2 linked regions of the Cricetulus griseus genome follow. The protein of the gene in region 2 purifies or fractionates together with the protein of the main gene of each other region. This does not show direct contact. Links are inferred from orthologs where the notes say so. Each region holds a gene or a part of one and is shown on either strand. Other genes may lie near its edges.

Region 1 (4,517 bases), on a different chromosome or scaffold from region 2:
ATCCTGCCCACTACAGGTTGTCGAGCCCTTTCTAGGCTCAGATAGACCCCGAGCGCTCGAGTGTGAGTGTGTCTGTGTCTGTGTGTGTGTGTGTGTGTGTGTGTGTGTGTGTGTGTGTGTGATGATAGAGCATTTGAGGCCTTTAGAGGATTCCAGCACCACATACAAGGTCATCCTTGAAGCACCAGGGGCACCTCGTGTGCTTCCCACGCTTTTTGCTATTTCTCACCTCCCTGACACATCTTCTCTCCTGGACTTGGGGGTCTGTCCCAGCAGTGCCACTCCACTCCTGGCTGTGGGAGCTCTGTCAAGGCCCTTGTGGGCCTCTGTTTCTCCATCTTTGAGAAACTTCCCAATAGTTGAGTTATCCCACATTTTAATGACTTTGGGGATGGGATTAGGGGGCTGGGGGTGTAGAGGAGGAATGAGAAACACCACAACATGGGTGGAGGATCTCAGAGCTTGCTTTCCCACCACCCTGGAGGAGTGGAGATGTGCCTGACTGATTATGTCAAAGCCAGGCCCATATTCAGTGTTGGGGAAGATATCAGCCCGCCCCCCCTCCGCACCCCTGAAGTCGTGGTGGAAGGGTCTTCCGCACCACTCAAGCCCTCTCCTTCCCTAAGATATTGGCACCTGGGCTGAGGGAGGCCAGGGAGGCAGCTCCACGTCAGCACAGCCGGTGTGGAGCATCTCAGACAATGAGCGCAGTGTGCAGAGAGCCGGGAGGGCTTGGCAGAGGCCAGGAAGCTCCTGGGGCCAGGCGCAGCTCCCCGCCCCCACGCCAGACAAAGAGCGGCCTGGGCCTGGGGAGCTGGCGGCCTTCCCGCCACTTGGGGCGCCTGGGGGGGGCTCTCGGGCGGGGGAGGCGGGGGCTTTGTCTAACTCCGCCACTGCCACCGCCGGCCAGGCCGCAGCTTGGCAACTCAGTGAGCAGGAGGCAGGGCTGGAGGGCGTGAGGGATGATGACAGGGAAGGCGGAGGAGCCACTGTGAGAGTCCATCTTGGATGCAGATGGCAGGGGAGAGCAGGGCTTTCTGCAAAGTAATACTGGCAAGCGGGCGGGCGGGCCCCACCAAAATGCCGGACACCTTAAGACCCCGCTCCGCCTCTGGCATTCGTCATTAGAAAAAGAACTTGAGCTGAATACAGGTGCTAGCAAGCCCAGAACAGGGCTTCAGAGTCCCAGGGGCTGCCTGCCACTGTGACCCACAACCCCAAAAGGTCCCAATTTTTGACCCTGGGGCAACTACCCCAGATCAAGCCTGTCTCTGGCTTCCCACAGCCTGACAACGCAACCCACTAACCTTCCATCCCAGGCACTGACCAAGAAGGCTGGGAGACAAAAATCCTACCTGCCAACAAAGCCTGTCACCCAAAGGGGGTGGCACCATCTGGGGTGATACAGTGGCTGCATGCTTTGGGGGGCTCTGTGCCCACGTGTTTCAACTCTCCCAAGCTGGCACCGTAAATCCCAAAGAGCAGCCAGTGTCCAAGAAGTTTAAAAACACATGTCCAGGGCTTTTCGAGGTCCTCTAGAGGATTTTTGGAGTTCTAGAATCAACATTTCAACACAAGACCACCCCCAAGTTGTAAGTGCCGACATGGGTAGTATGTTTGACACAGCGACCATAACCAACTCGGACCCCAACTCCCACAGAAGGCCTTAGCTCTCCTGGCACCCCGTTATCTCGCGTCTGTTTCAGGGGGTGGTCTGTTCACAGCCAAATGTCTAGGGGGTTACTAGAGGGGACACAAGACCGGTGACCTATGAGCGCCACGGTTTCACACCCCTCGCCCCGGTTCCCTCGGGGTTCGGGACTAGCCCCTGCACAGCCGAAAGCTGTCTAGGAACTTTGCAGGAGTTTCCCGGAGGCGCCAGCCCCAGCGGGGAAGGGAGACCGGGTCCCCCGGGCTTCTGCAGAGCGGCCCTTGGGGCGCGTACCCACGTGGGGACTCCGAGATGGAGACCCGCGGGACCCAGCACGCCGCCCGCAGTGCCCACGAGGCCCGGACACTCCAACTTCTTTCCAGGGACCTCCCGAGGGCGTGGGGGATGGGGAGCCAGGAGCCGCTCCCACCCCCAGGCTGCGGTCCCCTGCCCACCCGCCGCCCGCGACCCGGGCCAGGCTCCCTCCTGGGGCCCGCGGCCACGCGGCCCGGCCCTGGCCTGTCCCGCTCCACCGACCCTCGGCGCCCCGCGCCTCGCTCCCCGCGCAGCCGGCCGCTCCCGCCTCCCGCCGGCAGGGGCCCCTCGCCGAGCCGCCCAAAAATCCTAAGGAAAGAAAAAAAAAGGGGGGGCTGAGGAAAAAAGCCTTCTTCGCCCCGCCGGCCGGCCGCCCGAGTTCCTTGCTTCCCCCGCCATCCGTGGCCGCTCGCACCCGGGCCCGAGCGCGCAGCCCCGCCGAGCTCCGGCGCACCGCGAAACTTTGCGGCACGGGCGGCGGGAATCATGGGCGGCGCGGCGGCTGAGGCGGCGCGCCGCGCTGCCCCGGCCCGCGGACATCCCCAACCACCACCGCCACCCGCGGGCAGCTCGCCGGCCTTCAGGCGCCGCGCGACTCGGGGAGCCCCGGGCCGAGGCCGGCAGCGCGAGCCCCCAACTTGGCGGCACTTTGCGCGCGCGCGCGGCCGCGCCCACTCACCGGCGTTGAGGGCGGCGGCGGGGCATTGTGCGCGGGTCAAGTTCGGCTTGTACGACATCCCCGCGGGCGGCCGGGCGCGCCCGGGCAGAGCCGGGCCAGGCGCGAGCGCGGCGGCGGCGGCGACGGCGAGGCCGAGGCCCGGGCCGGGCGGCCCCACGTCCCCGCGCCCGTCCGAGCGCCCACCGGGCGCCCGCGCACTTTTTGTTGTCGCCGGCTCGGGCCGCGCCGGCAAATATGGCCGTCCCTCACCCTGCCGCCGCCGCAGTATATCACCCATACATCGGGCGCGCGGCGCAGGGGCGGCCGCAAACTTTGAGCCCAGCCGGTGCTGGGCCCGGCCCCGAACCGGGAGGGGGCGGCGGGCGTCGAGGGGGCGGCCTCCCCGCGGCCGCGCCCCGCGCAGCGCGCCGCCCGCAACTTGCCAAAGTTTGGGGGGCTGCGGTCCCCGCGGCGCCCCCGCGGCGCCCCAGCCTCCCGCGCGCCGCTCATTGGCCCGCTCCTTCCTCTTTCTTAAACAGCCAGGCTGGATGGAAGAAGTACTTTTTTTTCCTGTGTCTCTTGACTGTGGGGGCAGGGATGGAAAATTACCTGGAGAAAATGGTGGCGATTGGGTTTTCGGGTTTTTTTTTTTTTTGGTGGTTTGTCTTATTTTTTTTATTTATTTATTTTTACTTGGACGTAGATCATTCCAGATGTCCATGTCTGGCTCTGTCCCAGAATTAGAATAACCCGTTCTTGACATTTATTTCGAAAAAAAAAAAAATGTCATGTCTCTGCCTGGATTAAGTGGGCTTTTTTTTTTTTTTTTTAACCCTTTGGGAACCCAAGATTCCTTTGAGACTGACAAAAGCTGGATGAAGAGACGCCTCCTCCTCCAGCAAATTCGCCCTCGCAGCATCCACAGCATTTGGCACAGGAACTCTTTGGGATTTTTCAAGGGAGCACCTACTGTGTGTCAGACACGGCTCTAGACGCTAAGGATTCAAGAATGAACTTGGCAAAGTTTCGACTCCCCGGAGTTTACACTCCATGTTTTAGACACCCCCCCTTCCCCACCCCACCCCATACACACTCCCACCCATCCTAGGAACTGACTGAAACGTCATCACCAAACGTATTTGGGATTTGATGAATAACCTTCCGAAGGTACTATATTTTGGAGTTCTGCCTGAATAGTAATGCTCATCAAATTACATAAAACGCCCACCCTTTTCTGTTGTTTTTAATCGCCATGGTTTGCAGGTTGGTTGGGCTTTTTTGATGTTTGTTTGTTTGTTTTTAATTAGTCATATTTAGACATGATCTGTGAATCTGTTGACAACGGCGTCAGCTTCTCTGCTAGACAAAAAAAAGGCACCACCACCGGGGTCTTACTCTCCCTTTCCCTTTGGGACTAAAGGTGCAGGGGAGGGGACCGCCTCTTCCCCTCCCACCCCCGCTCCACCAACACCCCTGCTAGCATCCTTAGAATTGCTCTGTCAAAGGCTTCTTGGTGACATTTTATCTTATAAAGAAATGAATGCAACCCATTCTACAATGGCTGATATAAGACGATATATATATATATATTATAAAATAATATATATAAAATATATATATTTTAAACGTTTTAGTAGTCAATTTTTGAAAGCAGAACATGGCATAAAATTAATTCCAATAATGTATTTAAACGACCGGATCCACAACAGGACAATTTCAATTCATAATGAATGAATACACAGAAATTCATCAGTAAGATTCTTGACTTTTTTTTTTTTTTTTTAAACAGGATCTCACAATGTATCCCTAGCTAGCTTAATATGTAAACTATGCTGGCCTGGAACTCACAAAGATCCACCTGCTTCTACCTTCCAGGGGGGCAGGGATTAAAGG
Region 2 (4,471 bases):
GGAAAGAGAATCTGACAGTCCCCTCTAATGACCCAACTCTGGCCTCCAGGTGAGCCAGCTATGGCTGGCAATAGCCATGGTGCCCTTTACTATCTCAGTTGCGTGCTTGAGCTCTGCTTGTCATATGGCCACAGCACTACCACTTTGGCCTGGAGCCTCGGTAAGATCTACCACAAAGGGTGAAAGGAAGGTCCTGGGAACCCATCTCTAATAAGACTGGAGTTCACAAATTGCCCTTCTCACCATTTAGGGTTTCCTCACTGGGATTATCACCCTTGAGCTTCGGAGAGCACCTTGCATCTGGAAGGTGAGGAAGAGGAGAGAACACAGGCCTGTCCCCCTACTGCCCAACACACACACACACACACACACACACACACACACACACACACTCAACCCAAAGAGCAACTTATCCTCTCAGCTGTTTGTACCTGACCAAAGCAAGAAAGTAAAAATGTCAGAGGCCTGATGGTCCTGTTAGAATGTTAGAAGGGAAATAGCAGGATTTTGTTAGTTTTTTTTCTGCGTGTGTGTGTGTGTGTGTGTGTGTGTGTGTGTGTGTGTGTGTGTGTGTGTGTGCTGTGGATTGAACCCAGAGCCACGTGCACAACAATAGGCAAACACTACCCCTGAGCTAAAGCCCTAGCTCCCCCCCCCCAGTAAGTTTACTCAGTATGGTCTTGAACATATTCTGGAGTCCAGTCAGGCCTAGAACTTTTGATCCTCCTGCCTCAGCCTCCCAGGTGTCAAGGATTACAGGCCTACCTATACCACCAGTCCTGCCTCTGAGTTTTGTTTTCAGCTAGGCTGTAGGTGGAGTCTGAGCTTGGCATGAGTCCCCTAGGCTGGGCAGGGCTGAGCTGGCTCACTGGTAGGTGCGGGCCATGATGATATCCAACACTTTCAACCTGATCTTGGGCTTCATCGTGGTGGTGATCGAGGTGATGAAGACAGCACTGGGGCCTGCTCCTACTGCCCCCTCCCAGGTACTGGTGAAGGCGAAGAAAGGTACAGGGGAGAAGAAAGGGCAGAAGGAAATAGGGATTGTACCCCCCAAAAGCATCCTCACCCTGCTCCTGCAGTTGACAGGGTTGCTGGTGCTAGAGCTCAGCGCTGAGGCCTTCGCCCTAGGAGGAGTGCTGGTCTCAGCATATGCCTTATTCTTGCTGAGCCAGAGGAAGCCAGGATGCTTCACAAGGTCAAGTCTGCACTACCAGGAGCTACAGGAGGTAGGGAGTGCCGGGAGGAAAACATGAAGAAGCAAGCTTCCAGCTAATTTTTCTTCTGGCTGTACTAGTCAGTGCCATTTAAGGGCAAATAGTGAGGCAGTAGGGAAATGAAGGGTTGAAACTGACTGGCTTTCTGGCATTGGATGTTAGTCCCCCAAATGATGGATGTAAAGGAATTGGGTATTTAATGACTGGGACTACACGAGTGTGCAAACATTAGTAAGCTACCTTAATGTATTACTGGAAAGACTCGAAAAGCTGGGTTTTGCTTCTACCTGGGGTTTCTCCTTTCTTGACCCTAAAATTTGCTCACATCTGTTTTTCAGGGTCTCACTGAGGTGGAGGAGGTTTCTGGTTTGGAGAGTAGTCCCGTGGTGGCTAGCACAGGAAACAACAGATGAGTGAGTGGTCAAGACAGGTGCCACTGTCCTCCTACGCCAAGGGGGGCATTCTCCAGACACTTCTGCGTTGTGCCCCTCCCTCGGAATATAACTGAACTCCCCCAAGATGTGCATGAAGCCCGGAGGAGTGCCCTCAGTCTCCCTTCAAACCAGGCCCTTATTGTCAAGCTGCTTCCTCCCTTGCATTCTTGGCCTTCTTCCTCCCTGCCTCTCCATCCAGCTTCACATCTGCCTCATCTCACTGTTTTCGTCTGTTCACCTTTCACAATCCCATCCACTCCGAGCCCGGTTGCTGCACCCGCCAACCCGGAATCCGCGTCGGTTGTGCTCCAGGTCTCCCTTGGATCCGGGTCCTGCCTAATTCACCAGACTACAAATCCCAGGATGCCCCGCTACCCCGTGACCTACTGGAAAATAAAGGGCCTTCCCTCGGCGGCGGGGGCGCTGTGCATCTGCTGAGTGACGCGAGGCGCTGGGAGCAGGGCCTAGCCGAGTTTCCTCGGACGCGACCACTGGCCCCGCGTGCAGGGAGGAGCCGGGCGGGCCGTGGCGCACAGGGGTGCCGCCACCGCGGCCAGGCAACCGCAGCCTGCTGGGGGTCTCTAGCCCTCCCGCCTGCAGCTGCGGATACTGGCAAAGGCAGGGGGCCGGCGCCTGGCCGAGCCGCACTTCCCCAGGTGCTGCCGCCGCGCCCCTCGCGCCAGTGCCCAGGTTCAAAGTCCTGAGACTTGGAGCGCGCGCGAGAAGGGGGTTGGAGATGATGAGTCAGTGGCGCCGGCCCTCCTCGCCCCCTCCCCCCGGACCGGGCGCTGGAGAGGACAGGCTGGCTGGGCAGGCGGGGGTACCGACCTAGGACTTTTCCCGCCTCTAGCGAGCACGCTGGTGGACCGAGCCCGCGTGGCCGCCACCCTTTCCAAGGCGGGAGCAGGACTGCGCAGGCTCAGGCTCTCAGCCGCCCCCGGCGGGCCTTTGATCCCTGCAGCCGTTTGGTCGCTGAAGCTCTGCTTGCACTGAGCCCACACCGCTTATGACCTCTGCAAGTGTACAAAGATGACAGGCTCGGTGGTTTGGGGGAAAGCCCAGGAAAATGGTGGATCCCGATAACACCAGGAGGCAGCTTAGGAGCCGCCGAAAAGTAGAAATGAACTAGGCCTAAGAGAACTCACCCCAAATTCACATAGTGCCCGGGATGGGTGTTCGCCTCACATCATTTTTGTTCCCACTTGAGAAGGCTTCTTTCCCCTAGAAAATGCTGCTTCTCCGGGCTCAGGCAAGCCCAGGTACCAGTGAGGCTAGAGCGCAGCCTGGCTGGCTTGCCTTGACATTGCAGTGGCGCCAGCTGCAGATCCTTTCTGTTTGTGACACCTTGGGAGTGGTAATAGTCGCCCTATGACAAAGTTACGTGTGAGTATTAGTGGGTGGAGACAGTTCTGGGATCAGGCTCTGGAATGGAGAGAACCCAATCTGGGCCTCCCCCATTTCTTCTCTCCCCCAATCAAACTGCAGGAATCATGTGTGAAGGGCTCTGAAAAGAATATTTTTCTTCAAAGTCAGGACGTGGTGGCCAAAGAAACTATAGAGGGAATCAGCAATTTGCTGTCCTCCAGCCTTTACTGTTGTGACCGGTAGCCTGGAAATTGCATTCCGGATCTTAAGAGATGCTCAATGAACGTGTTGTCTCTTAACAATGCTGAATAATCAAGGCCAAGACCCCAGTGGTTTTATTTCTCGTTTATTGTCCAAAGTAACTGGCAAGGGGCTTTGCTCGTTGTAAATTATTAAGATCCCTTAGATGCTGAGGCTCCCTTTTTTATCTTCTTATTGGCTGCCTGGAACTTGCCATGTAGACCAGGCCCTGCTTGAACTCCCATTTGATTCACGTGTTTGTGAGTGATGGCATTAAAGGCATGAGTCACCATGAAGTTTGCACACACACACACACAGTTACCAACAATGTGAACTAAGCTTGAAGAATTGTTCGTGGATTCTGCAGTGGTTTTCCCCAAATGGATGCATGTTAACTTCCATCACAACTCATTGGTCAAAGCAAATCATAAAGCCACACTCAATGTCATAGGAAAGGCAATGTGGAAAATGAAGGGAAGCAGAAACAATTTAAGGAAAAGGTTAGGAATTTGAACCTTGAATCGATAAGTAGTTGGAATGTGTCTATTTAGCAGTTATACCCGTTTCTAATTGTTTAGTTCAGCCAACTTCTACGTGAAATTCTGGATGGGAAAAATTAAGACTGGGTGTCAGGAGAACCTAGATGCTAGTTCTGTTGCTTGGGTAAGTAAAATCTGTCTGGACTATACTTTGTTCACATAGCCATTATAGCCTATTTAACCTCTTTACCTTTCTGATGCACAAGGCTGAAATAGTGTCGCACAAGGAAAAGTACTTTAAAATTAGGAGGCACTTGAGAGGTCAAAAATACGTTGTCTAATAAGGTAGATAACGGTGTGGTGTAAATGAGTGAAGTAGATAGGGACTAAATGACAGGGTTGGAGGGAACGCATGGCACACACTACAGGTGTGAAAGGGTGTATGTACTCAACACCAACTACTGCCTCGTATGGCTGTGGGAATGCCACATTTTTTAATGGAAGTCAGAAATTCTGACTTTATGTGTAAAAATTCTGATTTTAAAATATTAATGAAACATTTTTTAATTCAAGGGTCACATTCAGCCTGGAGTTCTGTAGATTTAAACGTCAGTTTCTGCATTATGCAAATAATGTTGCAAGAATTTGGTTTGAATCCCAGCACTCAGGAGGCAGAGGCAGAAGGAACACTGTGGGTTTGAGACCAGCTTGGTCTACAGAGCGAGTTCTAAGACAG

What was found.
Region 1: the proteins of Znf219 (region 2) and Cdk2ap1 purify together in Homo sapiens (affinity purification with mass spectrometry; 3 studies listed by BioGRID and IntAct, counting the BioPlex papers as one, with this or other methods). This does not show direct contact. The link is inferred for Cricetulus griseus from reciprocal best matches to the Homo sapiens genes ZNF219 and CDK2AP1.

The regions. Positions count from the first base shown.
Region 1 is NC_048597.1:104,073,978-104,078,494, forward strand, and holds the start of Cdk2ap1 (cyclin-dependent kinase 2-associated protein 1), read right to left. Parts: upstream 3,017-4,517; 5' UTR 2,923-3,016; coding exon 2,646-2,922; intron 1-2,645. UniProt on the Homo sapiens protein: Inhibitor of cyclin-dependent kinase CDK2. Also acts as a component of the histone deacetylase NuRD complex which participates in the remodeling of chromatin.
Region 2 is NW_023276807.1:207,073,035-207,077,505, forward strand, and holds the start of Znf219 (zinc finger protein 219), read right to left. Parts: upstream 3,007-4,471; 5' UTR 2,797-3,006; intron 2,665-2,796; exon of another isoform or gene 2,480-2,664; intron 2,271-2,479; exon of another isoform or gene 2,039-2,270; intron 1,990-2,038; exon of another isoform or gene 1,631-1,989; coding exon of another isoform or gene 1,556-1,630; intron 1,230-1,555; coding exon of another isoform or gene 876-1,229; intron 308-875; coding exon of another isoform or gene 251-307; intron 161-250; coding exon of another isoform or gene 50-160; intron 1-49. Other genes in the region: Tmem253 (transmembrane protein 253), read left to right, coding at 50-160, 251-307, 876-1,229, 1,556-1,630. UniProt on the Homo sapiens protein: Transcriptional regulator. Recognizes and binds 2 copies of the core DNA sequence motif 5'-GGGGG-3'. Binds to the HMGN1 promoter and may repress HMGN1 expression. Regulates SNCA expression in primary cortical neurons.